Anolis sagrei: one gene and its partner. The protein of the gene in region 2 interacts with the protein of the main gene of each other region in a pairwise test. Links are inferred from orthologs where the notes say so. Each region holds a gene or a part of one and is shown on either strand. Other genes may lie near its edges.

What was found.
Region 1: the proteins of FCHSD2 (region 2) and ABCF3 interact in binary tests that used the Homo sapiens proteins (3 or more experiments, as listed by UniProt). The two-hybrid records come from large-scale screens. The link is inferred for Anolis sagrei from reciprocal best matches to the Homo sapiens genes FCHSD2 and ABCF3.

The regions. Positions count from the first base shown.
Region 1 is NC_090023.1:263,135,018-263,142,731, forward strand, and holds the start of ABCF3 (ATP-binding cassette sub-family F member 3), read right to left. Parts: upstream 3,013-7,714; 5' UTR 2,956-3,012; coding exon 2,880-2,955; intron 1-2,879.
Region 2 is NC_090023.1:6,963,047-6,970,092, reverse strand, and holds the start of FCHSD2 (F-BAR and double SH3 domains protein 2), read right to left. Parts: upstream 3,020-7,046; 5' UTR 2,853-3,019; coding exon 2,832-2,852; intron 1-2,831. UniProt on the Homo sapiens protein: Adapter protein that plays a role in endocytosis via clathrin-coated pits. Contributes to the internalization of cell surface receptors, such as integrin ITGB1 and transferrin receptor.

The DNA.
Region 1 (7,714 bases), about 260 Mb from region 2:
AAAGATCAACTGCACATATTTCGAAGCGTTGGAAGCTTTAAAACAGAGACTGGATGGCCATCTGTCAGGGGTGATTTGAATGCAATATTCTTGCTTCTTGGCAGGGGAGAGGACGTTCTCTGCTGTGCCCCCCCCCCTTTGGAACTCACTATCTGGGGAGACCAGGCAAGCCCCTACTTTAGCAGTCTTTAAGAAAGATCTAAAAACTTGGCTGTTCCGATGTGCCTTCGGAGAGTGACTATTCAACCCATTTGTTTGTTCCCACCTACAGTTGTCCTCATGATACACCACCCCCTGTCCTTTATAAAGACCAAACCCACTGCTCCTCCTTCTTGGGCTCCTCTCCTACAAATACACTTTTTTATTCCCATTTCACCCAGTGTTTTAACATTTTATCTCATACATTTGGACCGCCCTTTGTGTTTGATTCTACTATGCTACTTTGTACTGTCTATTTATTTGTTATTTTATATATTTTATGTTATGATGTATTTCTCCATTGCTTTTTGTCTAATTATTCTGTATTACTTTTGGGCTTGGCCTCATGTTAGCCACCCCGAGTCCCCTTTGGTGAGAGCGTGGTGGGTAATAAATAAAGTTTATTATTAATATATTATTGTTTTGATTGTGTTTTTCTTGCATGGCAGGAGGCTGGACTAGATGACCCATGGATCTCTAATAATAATAATAATAATAATAATAATCTTTATTTATAGCCCGCCACCATATCCCCAATGGGGACTCGGAGTGGCTCACATGAGGCCAAGCCCAGACAGCAAATTACAATAAAATAAAACCGAAAACGCAAACAATAAACAACAACATAATTACATAAAACATGTGAAAACATAGCAATATAGAATTACAATAGGCACAATGACAATGGGCGGGCTACATGCAATGGTTAAAAGAGAGATTGATTAAAACTGATTAAAACTCAGGCGAGATAAGAAAGAGACAGATTATTTGCGGAGGAGGACTCATTATAGTAGTGGTTGTGGAATCAAGCTTTCCCACAAGGGGGGCGGGGGACATGTACTCCAATTACAAAACGTTGAGGCTAAGCAATAGTGTGAAAATGTAAACCTATTAATTAAAAGCGCAGCGGAAGAGGCAGGATTTAAGGTTCTTTTTAAAGGTTTCTAGGGTAGGGGCTTTCCTAATTTCTCCAGGTAGTGAGTTCCAGAGTCAGGGGGGCCACAGAGGAAAAAGCTATCTCCCTTGTACTTACCAGGCAAGCTTGTGAAATTGGCAGGGGCAAAAGAAGAACGGTAGAACGGAGCGCCCGAGTTGGTTCATGGAGGGAGATACGGACACGAAGGTAGGCGGGTCCCAAACCGTTTTGGGGTTTTATAGGTGATAACCTGCACCTTGAATTGGGACCGGAAAATAAACGGCAGCCAGTGGAGCTCCTTAAACAGTAGGGTTGACCGCTCCCTGTAAGTCGCCCCAGTTATTAATCTGGCTGCTATTTATTTGTCGTGTCAGATCAACCAGTCAATTATATTACATTTCTAACAGAACAAAGCAAACAAACAGGTAAAATACAACGTTTGTGAGTTTGGTAGTTGGTTAAATGTCTTTTGACCAGTATCTGGCCACTTGGAGTGCTTCTGGTGTTGCTGCAAGAAGGTCCTCCATTGTGCATGTGGCAGGGCTCGGGTTGCATTGCAGCAGGTGGTCAGTGGTTTTCTCCTCTCCACACTCGCATGTCGAGGATTCCACTTTGTGGCCCCATTTCTGAAGGTTGGCTCTGCATCTTGTGGTGCCAGAGCGCAGTCTGTTCAGCGCCTTCCAAAGTCACCAAGTCCTCTGTGTGCCCAGGGGGGAGTCTCTCATTTGATATCACCCACGGATTGAGGTTCTGGGTTTGAGCCTGCCACTTTTGAACTCTCGCTTGCTGAGGTGTTCCAGCGAGTGTCCCTGTAGATCTTAGAAAACTATTTGTAGATTTAAGTCGTTGACGGGCTGGCTGATACCCATACAGAGGATGAGATGGAGATGTCTCTGCCTTGGTCCTTTCACTATTGGCTGCTACTTCCCGGCGGATGTCAGGTGGTGCAATACTGGCTAAGCAGTGTAATTTCTCCAGTGGTGTAGGGCGCAGACACCCCGTGATAATGCGGCATGTCTCATCCAGAGCCACATCCACTGTTTTAGTGTGGTGAGATGTATTCCACACTGGGCATGCATACTCAGCAGCAGAGTGGCATAGCGCAAGGGCAGATGTCTTCACTGTGTCTGGTTGTGACCCCCAGGTTGTGCCAGTCAGCTTTCGTATGATATTGTTTCTAGCGCCCACTTTTTGCTTGATGTTCAGGCAGTGCTTCTTGTAGGTCAGGGCACGGTCCAGAGGCAGTAATCTGTCTGCTGAACGTTGGACAAGTTGTAGTTTCCCGCCCGTCTTCATGGGTAGTCCCACGTAGAGTGCATTACAGTAGTCAGTCTAAAGGTAACTAAGGCATGGATCACCATGGTCAAGTCAGACTTCACAAGGTAAGGTCGCAGTTGGCGCACAAGTTTTATTTTCCTGGCCACCGCCGACACCTGCGCATCAAGCGTCTGCGCTGAGTCCTGTGATTTCAGGGGGAGTGCACAGGTTGCCACCCAATATCTCTTCTAACTCATATTATTCTATGAGCTCTATAGTGCAGGTATTGGCAAACTTGGGCCCTCCAGGCCTTTTGGATTCCAACTCCCACAATTCCTAACAGCCGTAGGCTGTTAGGAATTGTGGGAGTTGGAGTCCAAAAGGCCTGGAGGGCCCATGTTTGCCCATGCCTGATCTCCATTGTAGAATGAATGCAGTTTGGGGTCAATCCCACCGCCCCTCCCCGGCATTCCTTGGCTGGAACCCAAGCCACCCGCCTTCGGCTCACCGGTCACGTAGTCGAACATCTCCCCGTCGAGTTCTGGGAACTCCCTCCGCAAGATGTCCGCGCAGGAGGCCGCCATTGCCGGGCTCCCCTCAGACGCCGCTCGGGCCCGTGACGTCGACGTCCGCTGCGGAGGCCGCCGGGAAACGGAGCCTGTGTCCAATCAGAATGAGAGGAGGGGGGAGGCGCGCGCCGCCCGAGCCGCCATGTCTTTGGCCAGCCGCAAGGGCCGCCGGGAAAGGGGCCCTTGCTATTGGTGCACGACTCATTCCCGAACGCTAGCTTTGGAGGACTTCAACTCCCAGAAGCCTCAGCTGCTTTGACTAATGATTAGGATTTCTGGGAGTTGAAGTCCAAAGCTGATTTCACGCCTTCCTTTCATTCCCCAGTAGGAGGCGGGTTGCTATTGGTATGCCTCACAAACACCAACCATTCCCGAACGCTAGCTTTTGAGGACTTCAACTCCCAGAAGCCTCAGCTGCTTTGACTAATGACTAGGATTTCTGGGAGTTGAAGTCCAAAGCTGATTTCTCGCCTTCCTTTCATTCCTCAATAGGCGGCGCAAGGAGGCTGATGTCAAAAAGCACTGAAAAGGGGAAAGCAGTTGTATTTGCTGGGATGTATAGTTCACCTACAATCAAAGAGCATTCTGAACCCCACCAATGATGGAATTGAACCAAACTTGGTACACAGAACTCTCATGACCAACAGAAAATACTCAATATGCCCAAATGTGAACACTGGTGGAGTTTGGGAAAATATACCTTGACATTTGGGAGTTGTAGTTGCTGGGATTTATAGTTCACCTACAATCAAAGAGCATTCTGAACTCCACCAACAATGGAATAGAACTAAACTTGGCAAACAAAACTCCCACGACAAACAATAAATACTGGAAGGGTTTGGTGGGCATTGACCTTGAGTTTGGGAGTTGTAGTTCAAGTACTTCCAGAGAGCACTGTGAACTCAAACAATGATGGATCTGGACCAAACTTGACACAAATACTCAGTATGCCCAAATGTGAACACTGGTGCAGTTTGGGGAAAATAGACTTGCAATTTGGGAGTTGTATTTGCTGGGATTTATAGTTCACCTACCATCAAAGAGCATTCAGAACTCCACCAATGATGGAATAGAACCAAACTTGGCACACAGAACTCACATGACCAACAGAAAATACTCAATATACCCAAATGTGAACACTGGTGGAGTTTGGGGAAAATAGGCCTCGGCATTTGGGAGTTGTATTTGCTGGGATTTATAGTTCACCTACAATCAAAGAGCATTCTGAACTCCACCAACGATGGAATTGGCACATAGAATTCCCACGACAAACAGAAAATACTGGAAGGGTTTGGTAGGCGTTGACCTTGAATTTGGGAGTTGTAGTTCAACTACATCCAGAGAGCGCTGTGGACTCAAAACAATGCAATACATTGTTGTTGTTGTTATTTGAAACACAACAAGATGAGTCCACAGCAGACAAGATCACTCTGCTGACTGTTGTATTGGATCACACGTCGGACCCTTCCCAAGTGTCTAGGACTGTGTGATGTATCGGCAAATAATGCGTGCAGATCCCAGTAGGGTGGCCTTTCGCAGCTGGCAGATGGTAATTTTGTCAGCACCGATTGTGTTTAAGTGCAGGCCAAGGTCTTTAGGCACTGCACCCAGTGTGCCGATCACTACTGGGACCACCTCGGGGGTTGAGAAGGGTGGGGTAAAAATGTGCGAAATAAATAAATAATAAATTGCAACATCGATAATCCATACTTTGTTTATGTACTATTTGTTTTGTTATTATTCTTATTCTTTATTATTACAGAGCTGCGGTGGTGCAGTGGGGTAAACCATTGTGCCGGTGGAAATGCTGACCTGAAGAATGGAAGATCGATGGTTCGAATCTGCGAGATGGGATGAGCTCCTGTCTGTCAGTTCCAGCTTCCCATGTGGGGACATGAGAGAATGCTCCCACAGGATGGTAACACTGTGGGCACCCCCTGGGCAACGTCCTTGCAGACGGCCAATTCCCTCACATCAGAAGTGACTTGCAGTTTCTCAAGTCTTTTCTGACACAATATAAATATTTTTATCATCATCATTATCATTAATGGTGATAATCATGTATCTTTTGCATTGTTCATTTCAACCACTAGATGGGAGTATTGGACTGTATCAGAACAGGCATTTCACAACATTTCAAATGTCAGAATTTCACCTAGGAGCAGTGATGTTGGTCAGGCAAATGAAATAGAATAAAACCCAGAAAGGAGTGATATCTTAATGGCAAACCGCAACACACAAAATACATCATTTAAGTTTTAAAAGCTCCACTGGCTGCTTCTTCATCAGGCAAAAGCTGTTGAAATCATACAGGAGGTGAAAATTAACCAGAAGTCTACATTTTGTATTAAGTGTTATTTCTGTTCTAGTTCTGCTGTTTTGGAGGGATCTCAATGATGGCAAAGGTTACTCCTCTTCTTTGCCTTAGAGAGCAGGAGTTAGCTTCGGTTAGGGCAGGAACAACCTGGATCTCAAGGAGTTTAATTTCTCTTACTGGCAGCTGTCCTTTTTTGCTGGAGCAGTCAGTTCACACAAGTGCTGTAATTTCTAAGCCATGAATTCACAATATTGGCATGTCTATTCTGTGGATTCAGGAAATCACAACTCCTCCCCCCATCAAATATGAACACGTGAAAAGTTATTTGTCCAACAAACCACTTGTTTGTTTCATATAATAGATGACAGTGAGGCCACAACAGATTAGAACAGTGGTTCTCAACCTGGGGTCCCCAGATGTTTTTGGCCTTCAACTCCCAGAAATCCTAACAGCTGGTAAACTGGCTGGGATTTCTGGGAGTTGTAGCCAAAAACATCTGGGGACCCCAGGTTGAGAACCACTGGATTAGAGGATGATGGTTGTCGTGTTGACTATGCCACTGGCTCCCCTATGTAAGAACATTTTAGTGACCCTTTACTGCAGTGTTTCTCAACCTTCCTAATGCCATGACCCCTTAATACAGTTCCTCATGTTGTGGTGACCCCCAACCATAAAATTACTGTAATTGCTACTTCATAACTGTAATTTTGCTTCTGTTATGAAATGCAGTGTAAGTATCTGATATGCAGGATGCATTTTCATTCACTGGACCAAATTTGGCACAAATATCTCATATGCCCAAAAATGATTTTGTCATTTGGAAGTTGTAGTTGCTGGGATTTATAGTTCACCTACAATCAAAGAGCATTCTGAACTCCACCAACGATGGAATAGAACCAATCTTGGTACACAGAACTCCCATGACAGAAAATACTGGAAGGGTTTGGTGGGCATTGACCTTGAGTTTTGGAGTTGTAGTTCACCTACATTCAGAGAGCGCTGTGGACTCAAACAGTGATGGATCTGGACCAAACTTGGCACAAATACTCAATATGCCCAAATATAAACACTGGTGGAGTTTGGGGAAAATAGACCTTGACATTTTGGAGTTGTTGTTGCTGGGATTTATAGTTCACCTCCAGTCAAAGAGCATTTTGATAGGATTGGGCCAAACTTCCCACACAGAACTCCCATGACCAACAGAAAATACAGTGTGTTCTGATGGTCTTTGCTGACCCCTCTGACACCCACTTCACAACCCCTCCAGGGGTCCCAACCCCTAGGTTGAGAAATGCTGCTTTACTGGATAAGTACATTATGGAACTGCTCAGTACTAATTTCCTCAGTTGTAAGTCCACTCAAGTTGTGATGTGCCTTCTTTGTCTTCACTTCAATGAGATGCCCATTCTACCTGATGGAAGCTCCCTGAGTCCCTTTGGGGAGAGAGGGTGGGTTAAAAATAACGTTGTTTATTATTATTATTATTATTATTATTATTATTATTATGCAAAAAGAATGCTAATTTGATTTCCAAAAAGAGTGCATTAATTTGCTTTTCGGAAACTGATAACAGAAAAATTGTATCCTTTATAGGGAAAACTTTTGCATTGCAGGGCATCCTATCACATACAAAAATACTAGGCTTGTGTGCGGATCCATTTTAGCCATTTTCCTTTGGCCAATCTGGATTCTTCAGCTTGGTTGGATAGCCATAACGGCAAGGGCCTAGCCGTCATGGTTTCCCATCCGTAATGGGACTACGCGGTAGCCAATCAAGGCTCTTCTCCCCTTTTATCCTTTAACTAGTTCATGTAGTGTTCTTTCCTCCCACTCCCCTCCAAAATTAGTTTGCTGTTATTGTTGTTGCTAGCTATTATTGTTATGTTGTTTTACACTGTTTTACGCTGTTTTAATTGTTTTTGCTTTGTTTTTAATTGTATTTTGCTTGGGCTTGGGCCCCATGTAAGCCGCCCCAAGTCCCTTCGGAGAGATGGAGGCGGGGTAGAAAAATAAAGTTGTTGTTGTTGTTGTTCTTCTTCTTCTTCTTCTTCTTCTTCTTCTTCTTCTTTTTGGAAGCACTCTGCAGGCATAGAGGCTGCCGCATGCTCCTTCTTGCACGGGGCTTTCCGATGAGCCTGGCCTGTTGGAGTAGAAGAATGCCATAACGTGTCTTACGTAAACTGTGTCTGCTTCCTTAACTCCGTTGCTGAAACCCAGGCTTCCTTGAAGGGAAGAAAGGAAAGTGTCCCAGGAACAGAAAGGGGAACCTCGTAAGTTCCTTATTGCTGCCAATGGGCCGGATCTGGCTGTATTTTTCAGCTGCAGAATGAAAATGGCCATACGGCTACCTTCCTGTTTTTGGGAGGAGTGTGAAAACGTTTTTGGGAGGTCTGTGAAAAAGATGAAGTACTTTGGCCACATTTTGAGAAGAGAGGAAAGCTTGGAGAAGGGAATGAT
Region 2 (7,046 bases):
GGGTAGCACTTGAGGTCTCCCACCTCTACAATTCTATGACTGAATCTGTGAATATGTGAAGGTGAGCTGTATCTTGCTGCAGCCTGCCTCTAAACACTCTTCCATTTGACAAACCCAATTTCCAAATCTCTAAAGCACTGCTGCGTAGCCCCATGTCACCTTCAGCCTGCCAGTGCCTCCAACAGCTTCAGTGCAGTTAAAAATCCTAAACAGAAATGTCTCCTCATTCTGACAAAACCTTTGCAGCATGCCTTTCTCTTTCTTTGGCATCTTCAGCACCTTTTCTCCTCCTGTGGCCTCTCTCTTCAGCACTATCTCCTTTTCCACCTGACTGCAACCTGTCGCAATCCGGCTCCCTTTTGACTCGAGTGTTTCTTCTATCAGACCATGCAATTTACCTGCCAGCCCCCTCCTCGAGGGATTACAAGTCCTGTTCTGGTGCCTTTTCCGTCTCAACTGCCCTTCCAGAGAAGCAAACCTTGCAGCACCTGTCTTAATACCACAGATACGGGCAGCGGTGGCATATCCTTATGCTCACAAGAAGCCAAGGCACACAAAAGAGCCCCTTCTCCAAAAGATATCCTCACTGATTCACTCCACAACTCTATGAAGCCTCTGGCACCTTTCAGCTAGGTGTGTGTCCTTCTCCTTTACACTTTACCTGGTCAGTTCCATCATACCTCTGCTCCCATATGGCAGCCACCTCCTTCTTTTCTATGCCACCTTGTCAACCAATAACAGCAATAATAATAATAATAATAATAATAATAATATAGGATGCTACCTTGTCAGGTAATAATAATAATAGTATGCCACCTTGTCAGACAATAGTAATAATATAATATTATAATAATAGTATGTTGCCTTGTCAGACAATAATACTATCATTGTATGCCGCCTTGTCAGACAAAAATAATAATAGTATAATAATAGTATGCTATCTTGTCCGCCAATAATAATACAATATTATAATAATAGTATGCCGCCTTATCAGCCAATAGTAATAATATATTATAATAGTAGTATGCTGCCTTGTCAGCCAATAATAATAATATAATAGTAAGCTGCCTTATCAGCCAATAATACTAATAATATATTGTTATAATAGTATGCTGCCTTATCAGCCAATAATAATAATATAATAGTATGCTGCCTTGTCAGCCAATAATAACAATAATAATATTTTATAGTAATAGCATGTCCCCTTGTCAGACAATAGTAATAATATAATATTATAATAGTAGTATGCTGCCTTATCAGCCAATAATAATAATAATAATATAATAGTATGCTGCCTTGTCAGCCAATAATACTAATAATATATTATAATAATAGTATGCTGCCTTGTCAGCCAATAACAACAATAATATATTCTGCTTTGTCAGCCAATAGTAGTAATAATCATGTATTACTATTATATTAGAATGCTGCTTTGTCAGCCAATACTAATAATATAATATTATAATAGTAGTACGCTGCCTTATCAGCCAATAATAATAATATAATAGTATGGTGCCTTATCAGCCAATAATAATAATAATAATAATAATGTATTGTAATAATAGCATGCTGCCTTGTCAGCCAATAATAAGAATAATAATAATAAATTATAATAATAGCATGCCCCATTGTCAGACAATAGTAATAATATAATAGTAATAATATAATATAATAATAGTAGTATGCTGCCTTATCAGCCAATAATAACAATATAATAGTATACCGCCTTATCAGCCAATAATAATATAATATAATAAGAGTATGCTGCTTTGTCAGCCAATAATAATAACAATAATAATAATAATATATTATAGTAATAGCATGTCCCCTTGTCAGACAATAGTAATAATATAATATTATAATAGTAGTATGCTGCCTTATCAGCCAATAACAAGAATAATAATATAGCAGTAGTATACCACCTTGTAACCAATAATAATAATAATAATAATAATAATAATATAATAATAATAGCATGCCGCCTTGTCAGCCAATAGTAATAATATAATAGTAATAATATAATATAATATTATAATAGTAGTATGGTGTCTTATCAGCTAATAATAATATAATAGTATGCTGCCTTGTCAGCCAATAATAATAATAATAAATTATAATAATAGCATGCCCCATTGTCGGACAATAGTAATAATATAATAGTAATAATATAATATATTATAATAGTAGCATGCTGCCTTATCAGCCAATAATAATAATAATAACAACAATAATAATAATATAGTAGTATACTGCCTTGTCAGCCATTAATAATAATAATATATTATTATAATAATAGTATGCCGCCTTGTCAGACAATAGTAATAATATAATATTATAATAGTAGTATGCTGCCTTGTCAGCCAATAATAATAATAATATAGTAGTAGTATGCTGCCTTGTCAGCCAATACTACTAATAATATATTATAATAATAATAGTATTCTGCCTTGTCAGCCAATAGTGATAACAATACACCTGCTGCTGCCACCACCTCTTCTTCTTGTGACACCTTGTCAGCCAATAACGATACCTTATGATTGCTCTAGGAATAGGGCCTCCTCATAATAATAATAGTAATAATAATGAATTAATTAATGAATAATGGGGATGCCCCCACCTCCTTTCCCTCCCTCCCTCCCGAGGCGACCTTGGCAGCCCTCCACTCTCTCCCTGGCCAGGCCCCTTCCCCATCCCTTGCCGCCCCTTTCCTCCTCAGGCAGGCATTCCTTTTCACCTCAGGCTCCCCATCATGGCCTCCCTCCCTCCCTCTCTCTGAAGCCCCCCTCCGTCGTGAGGCGCCTCTCTCCCTCCCTCTCTCTCTCTGGGCTCACCTTCCTCGGCGGGGGCTGCATGGCGGCGGCGGCGGGGCCGCTCTGGGCCTCCACATCAATCCCTTCCCCGCCCTGGACGGCGGCGGCAGTAGTAATAAGAAGAGCGGCAAAGAGAAGGAGACGCCAGACGCGGTCCTTCTTCTCCTTCTTCTTCTCCTTCTGCAGCAGCAGCAGCCGAAGCGAGCGGTGGGAGGGGCGGCGCGAGGATGAGGAGGGGGCGTGGCCGGGAGTGCAGGGGGCGTGGCCAAATTGGGAGGGAGGGAGGGAAGGGAAGGGACGGCGCGCGCGTGTGAGAAGCTCGCGCCACCTAGCGGTCGACAGGGAGTTGGAAAAGGGGGCGTGGCTGTTGGAGGGGAAAGGGGGCGTGGCCGAAGAAGGGCTGGAAGGAATGGGAGCCGGACAAGACAAAAGGTGAAAGGGGGCGTGACCCAAACGGAATGGGCGTGGCCAAGAAAGAAGGGGCGTGGCCAAGGAATTGTCCATTTTCTTCACTTAGTAAGGGAGATAGCGGGAAAGAGTGCGCGTGCGCAGAAGGATCTCCGAGGAGAGGAAAGGGAGAGAAGGGGCGTGGCCTTAAAAGGGGGCGTGGCCTAAAGGGGGCTGCATTTCTCTTTGTAAAAGAGAAGGAAAGGCTCTCCGAGGACATGAAAGGGAGAGAAGGGGCGTGGCCTTAAAGAGGGCGTGGTCAAGGACCTGTCTGTTTCTCTCACTTGGTAAGGGACAGAGCGAGAAAGTGTGCGCGTGCGCAGAAAGGAAAGGGAGAGAAGGGGCGCGGCCTTAGAGGAGGCGTGGCCAAGGACCTGTCTGTTTCTCTCACTTGATAAGGGACAGAGCGAGAAAGTGTGCGCGTGCGCAGAAAGGAGAGGAAAGGGAGAGAAGGGGCGTGACCTTAGAGGGGGCGTGGCCAAGGGGGCTGCATTTCTCTTTGTAAAAGAGAGAGCGAGAAAGAGGGAAGGCGTGGCCTAAAGGAGGCGTGGACCTGTCTGTTTCTCTCACTTGGTAAGGTAGATAGCGAGAAAGAATGCGCGTGCGCAGAAAGATCCCCGAAGAGCGGAAAGGGAGAGAAGGGGCGTGGCCTTAAAGGGGCGTGGTCAAAAGCGGGAACGAGTACGCATGCGCAGCAGAATCTCCGAGTAGGGGAAAGTAAAGGAAGGGAAGGGGCGTGGCTTAGAAGGGGGCGTGACCAAAGAACTGGATTTCCCTCACTTGCTAAGGGAGATAATGAGAAAGAGTGCGCGTGCGCAGAAGGATCTTCCGAGGAGGGAGAAGGAAAGGGAAGGAAGGGACGTGGCCTAGAAGGGGGCGTGGCCAAGGGTCTGTCCGTTTCCCTCAATGGGTAAGGGAGATAATGCGAAAGATAGCGCGTGCGCAGAAGAATCTTCCGAGGAGGGAAAGGGAGAGAAGGGGCGTGGCCAAAGAACTGACCATTTCCCTCACTTCGTAAATAAAAGAGCGCATGCGCAAAGGAATCTCCACCCTCCCCACTTTAGGGAGAGGTCCCTAAAGAAAGCGTGAGAAGAGGGTGTGGTCTGGTTTGGTCACGCCCTCATATAGGCCACGCCCGTTTTCTCCATTCTCGTTGAAATGGCGAGACAAGGCATCTTCGCGCCCCTTTAGTAGGCGGGACTTGAAGAGTACAAAGGGGGCGGGGCTACAAAGGGGGCGTGGCAACAGAGGGCTTGGTTCATAGAGAACAATTGGAATTAATGACAGAAAGAGGCAAGAGCGAGAGAAGGGGGCGTGGCCAAGGGATAAGGAAAGAGAGAGACAGCCAAAAGGGGGCGCTGCCGCCTAATTACGGCAAAACACAACTGTGCGTGCGCAGGGGGAGAATTTGAGCGGAGGATGTGTGCGCATGCACTCGTTTCACACCGCCTGGCTATAAAAGCTGCCACTGCGCATGCCCGGTCGGCTTAGCTCTTCCCTCCTGTCTCCTATTGGCAAATCCTAAAGCTATGCTCTTACTCCCTCTAGTGGCCGGATGCTGAAGAAGGCAGCCTGGCAGTCTCTTTGCCTTGGGAAGAGTGCCAGATGTTGTGCTATGGAATGAATGAAGTTGCCAAGTCAATCAGTGCAGGCATCTATATAAAACTGGTCCTTTAGCGCTCTAACTGGAGGTCAGCTGTGACCAGCAGTGCTGCAGAATTCGAAGAGGCACGAATGGAGGGCGAAAGGGAGAAACGTGCCAAGAGCAAGGCGTGTCAAGCCTGTTAACGTGGGCAAAATAATCGCGGAAGCACTGAATAATGGACTCTGGAGTCTCTGGTAAAAAGCAGGTTTCAGGTTTACTTGAGCAGTTCAAAAATACAACATACGCCATCAGCAGACAAACGTGGAGAACACAAAACGAAAGAGATAGGCACTTAAACTGCAGCTGGAAGGGAGGTTATCTCTGGCACTCTCTAAACTTGCACACAGCAAGAATTCAGGGTCACATTCTCACAGCGTTCTCTGTAAACATACATTCTTGCAATACAATTCTATTACAATTTTCATGCTACTACATAAAATTATATTTAAACATACATCATACATAAAATACACTGACAAAGCCAACACTAGGACCGGGACCGCCTTTCATAGCTTGAGGATGATGATCTTCCAGATGTGAGTGAGTCCGTAGGTGGCTGTGGAGCCCTATTCTTGATCCACATGTTCTCCTGCAGTGAGGACATCGGTTTCCAATGGAATGCGGTCCTGGTCAGGGTTGGCATGATGTGCATTTCTCTTGGCACGTTTCTCCCTTTCGCCCTCCATTCGTGCCTCTTCGAATTCTGCAGCACTGCTGGTCACAGCTGACCTCCAGTTAGAGCGCTCAAGGGCCAGGGCTTCCCAGTTCTTGGTGTCTATGCCACAGTTTCAGTCTCTTTTCCTGTCCTTCAATGTTCCTTTTTCCATTCTTGAGTTGGGAGTAGAATAACTGCTTTTGGAGATGGATGCTAAGCAGGGTCACCCCTGGCTAAGACTTGGATGGGAGACCACCAATGAATACCAGGTACTGTAAATTTTATATAATTATTAGCATAAGAATAGTACAATATTACTATATTGTACTATATTATTTATTCATTTCAGGTACTTCTACCCCGCCCTTCCCAACCTCCGAGGGGGGACTCGGGGCGGCTTACAGAAAGGCACAGTTCAATGATTGCACAACATACACATAACGTATAAAACCATAGTTAAAACAATTATCACAGTTAAAAACAATCAGTATATAACACATCAATAAAACTATTCTCATGCTCAGCGTTCGTCTTACAGAGTTCCATTATATTGTAATATATAATATACCATTATATTTTAATATTATTAGTAATATTACATGTAATATAAATATATAATTATGAGATATTAGCAGTAGTAATATATTGCATTACATTATAATATTACAATATATTATATTATACTTTAGCCTCTCATTGGAAGGATAGTCATGTATACAATGATATGGAACACCTTAATTTCTCATTTCATCATGAGTTCAAACACAGGAGTAAAGGTCCTACTGACTCATCTATTTTGATAGCATGTTTTGGTCATTCCTCGGGGACAAGCTTTTACTAATGGAGTCCAGCTGTTGCAATCCGGTTCTATTATGAGGAGGCCGAAACCCTCCCACAGATTCAGTGGGGATTTATTCTCTTCCAGTTGTAAAAACACCTACCAAAAATGCCAGGAGGACAACAATAATACAACATTGGAAAACAAGGATGCAACGTGGGTGTCAAAAAGACTCACATTACAATATATTTTGCATGCTGTTGCTTGCTTAGAAGTTCCTAAGAAACATCTGGAAAAGCTAGCTTGGGGTTATGGAATGTGTTCTCCAAAACATCTGGAGGTGCCAAATTGGGGAAAGGTCGTCTGGAGGATCTGTGTCAGAAAGAGAATTCTGATGGTTTGAATGCTGGAAACTATTGTTCTGTTGATGCAACCTAGAACTGCATTGGCATTATTTGCTGCTTCATCACACCGCTGACTCTTCTTTAGCACGTGGTCTAAAATCAATAAAGGTTCTGCCCGATCTTGGATGCTAAGCAGGGTCGCCCCTGGCTAAGACTTGGATGGGAGACCACCAATGGATACCAGGTACTGTAAATTTTATTTCAGAGGACTTACTTACTTAGGCGATCCCTCGTTGGCCAAGTAGGATAGTCTTCCAGGATCAGTGTTCTGGTAGGTCCGTAGGTGACTGTGGAGCCCTATTCTTGA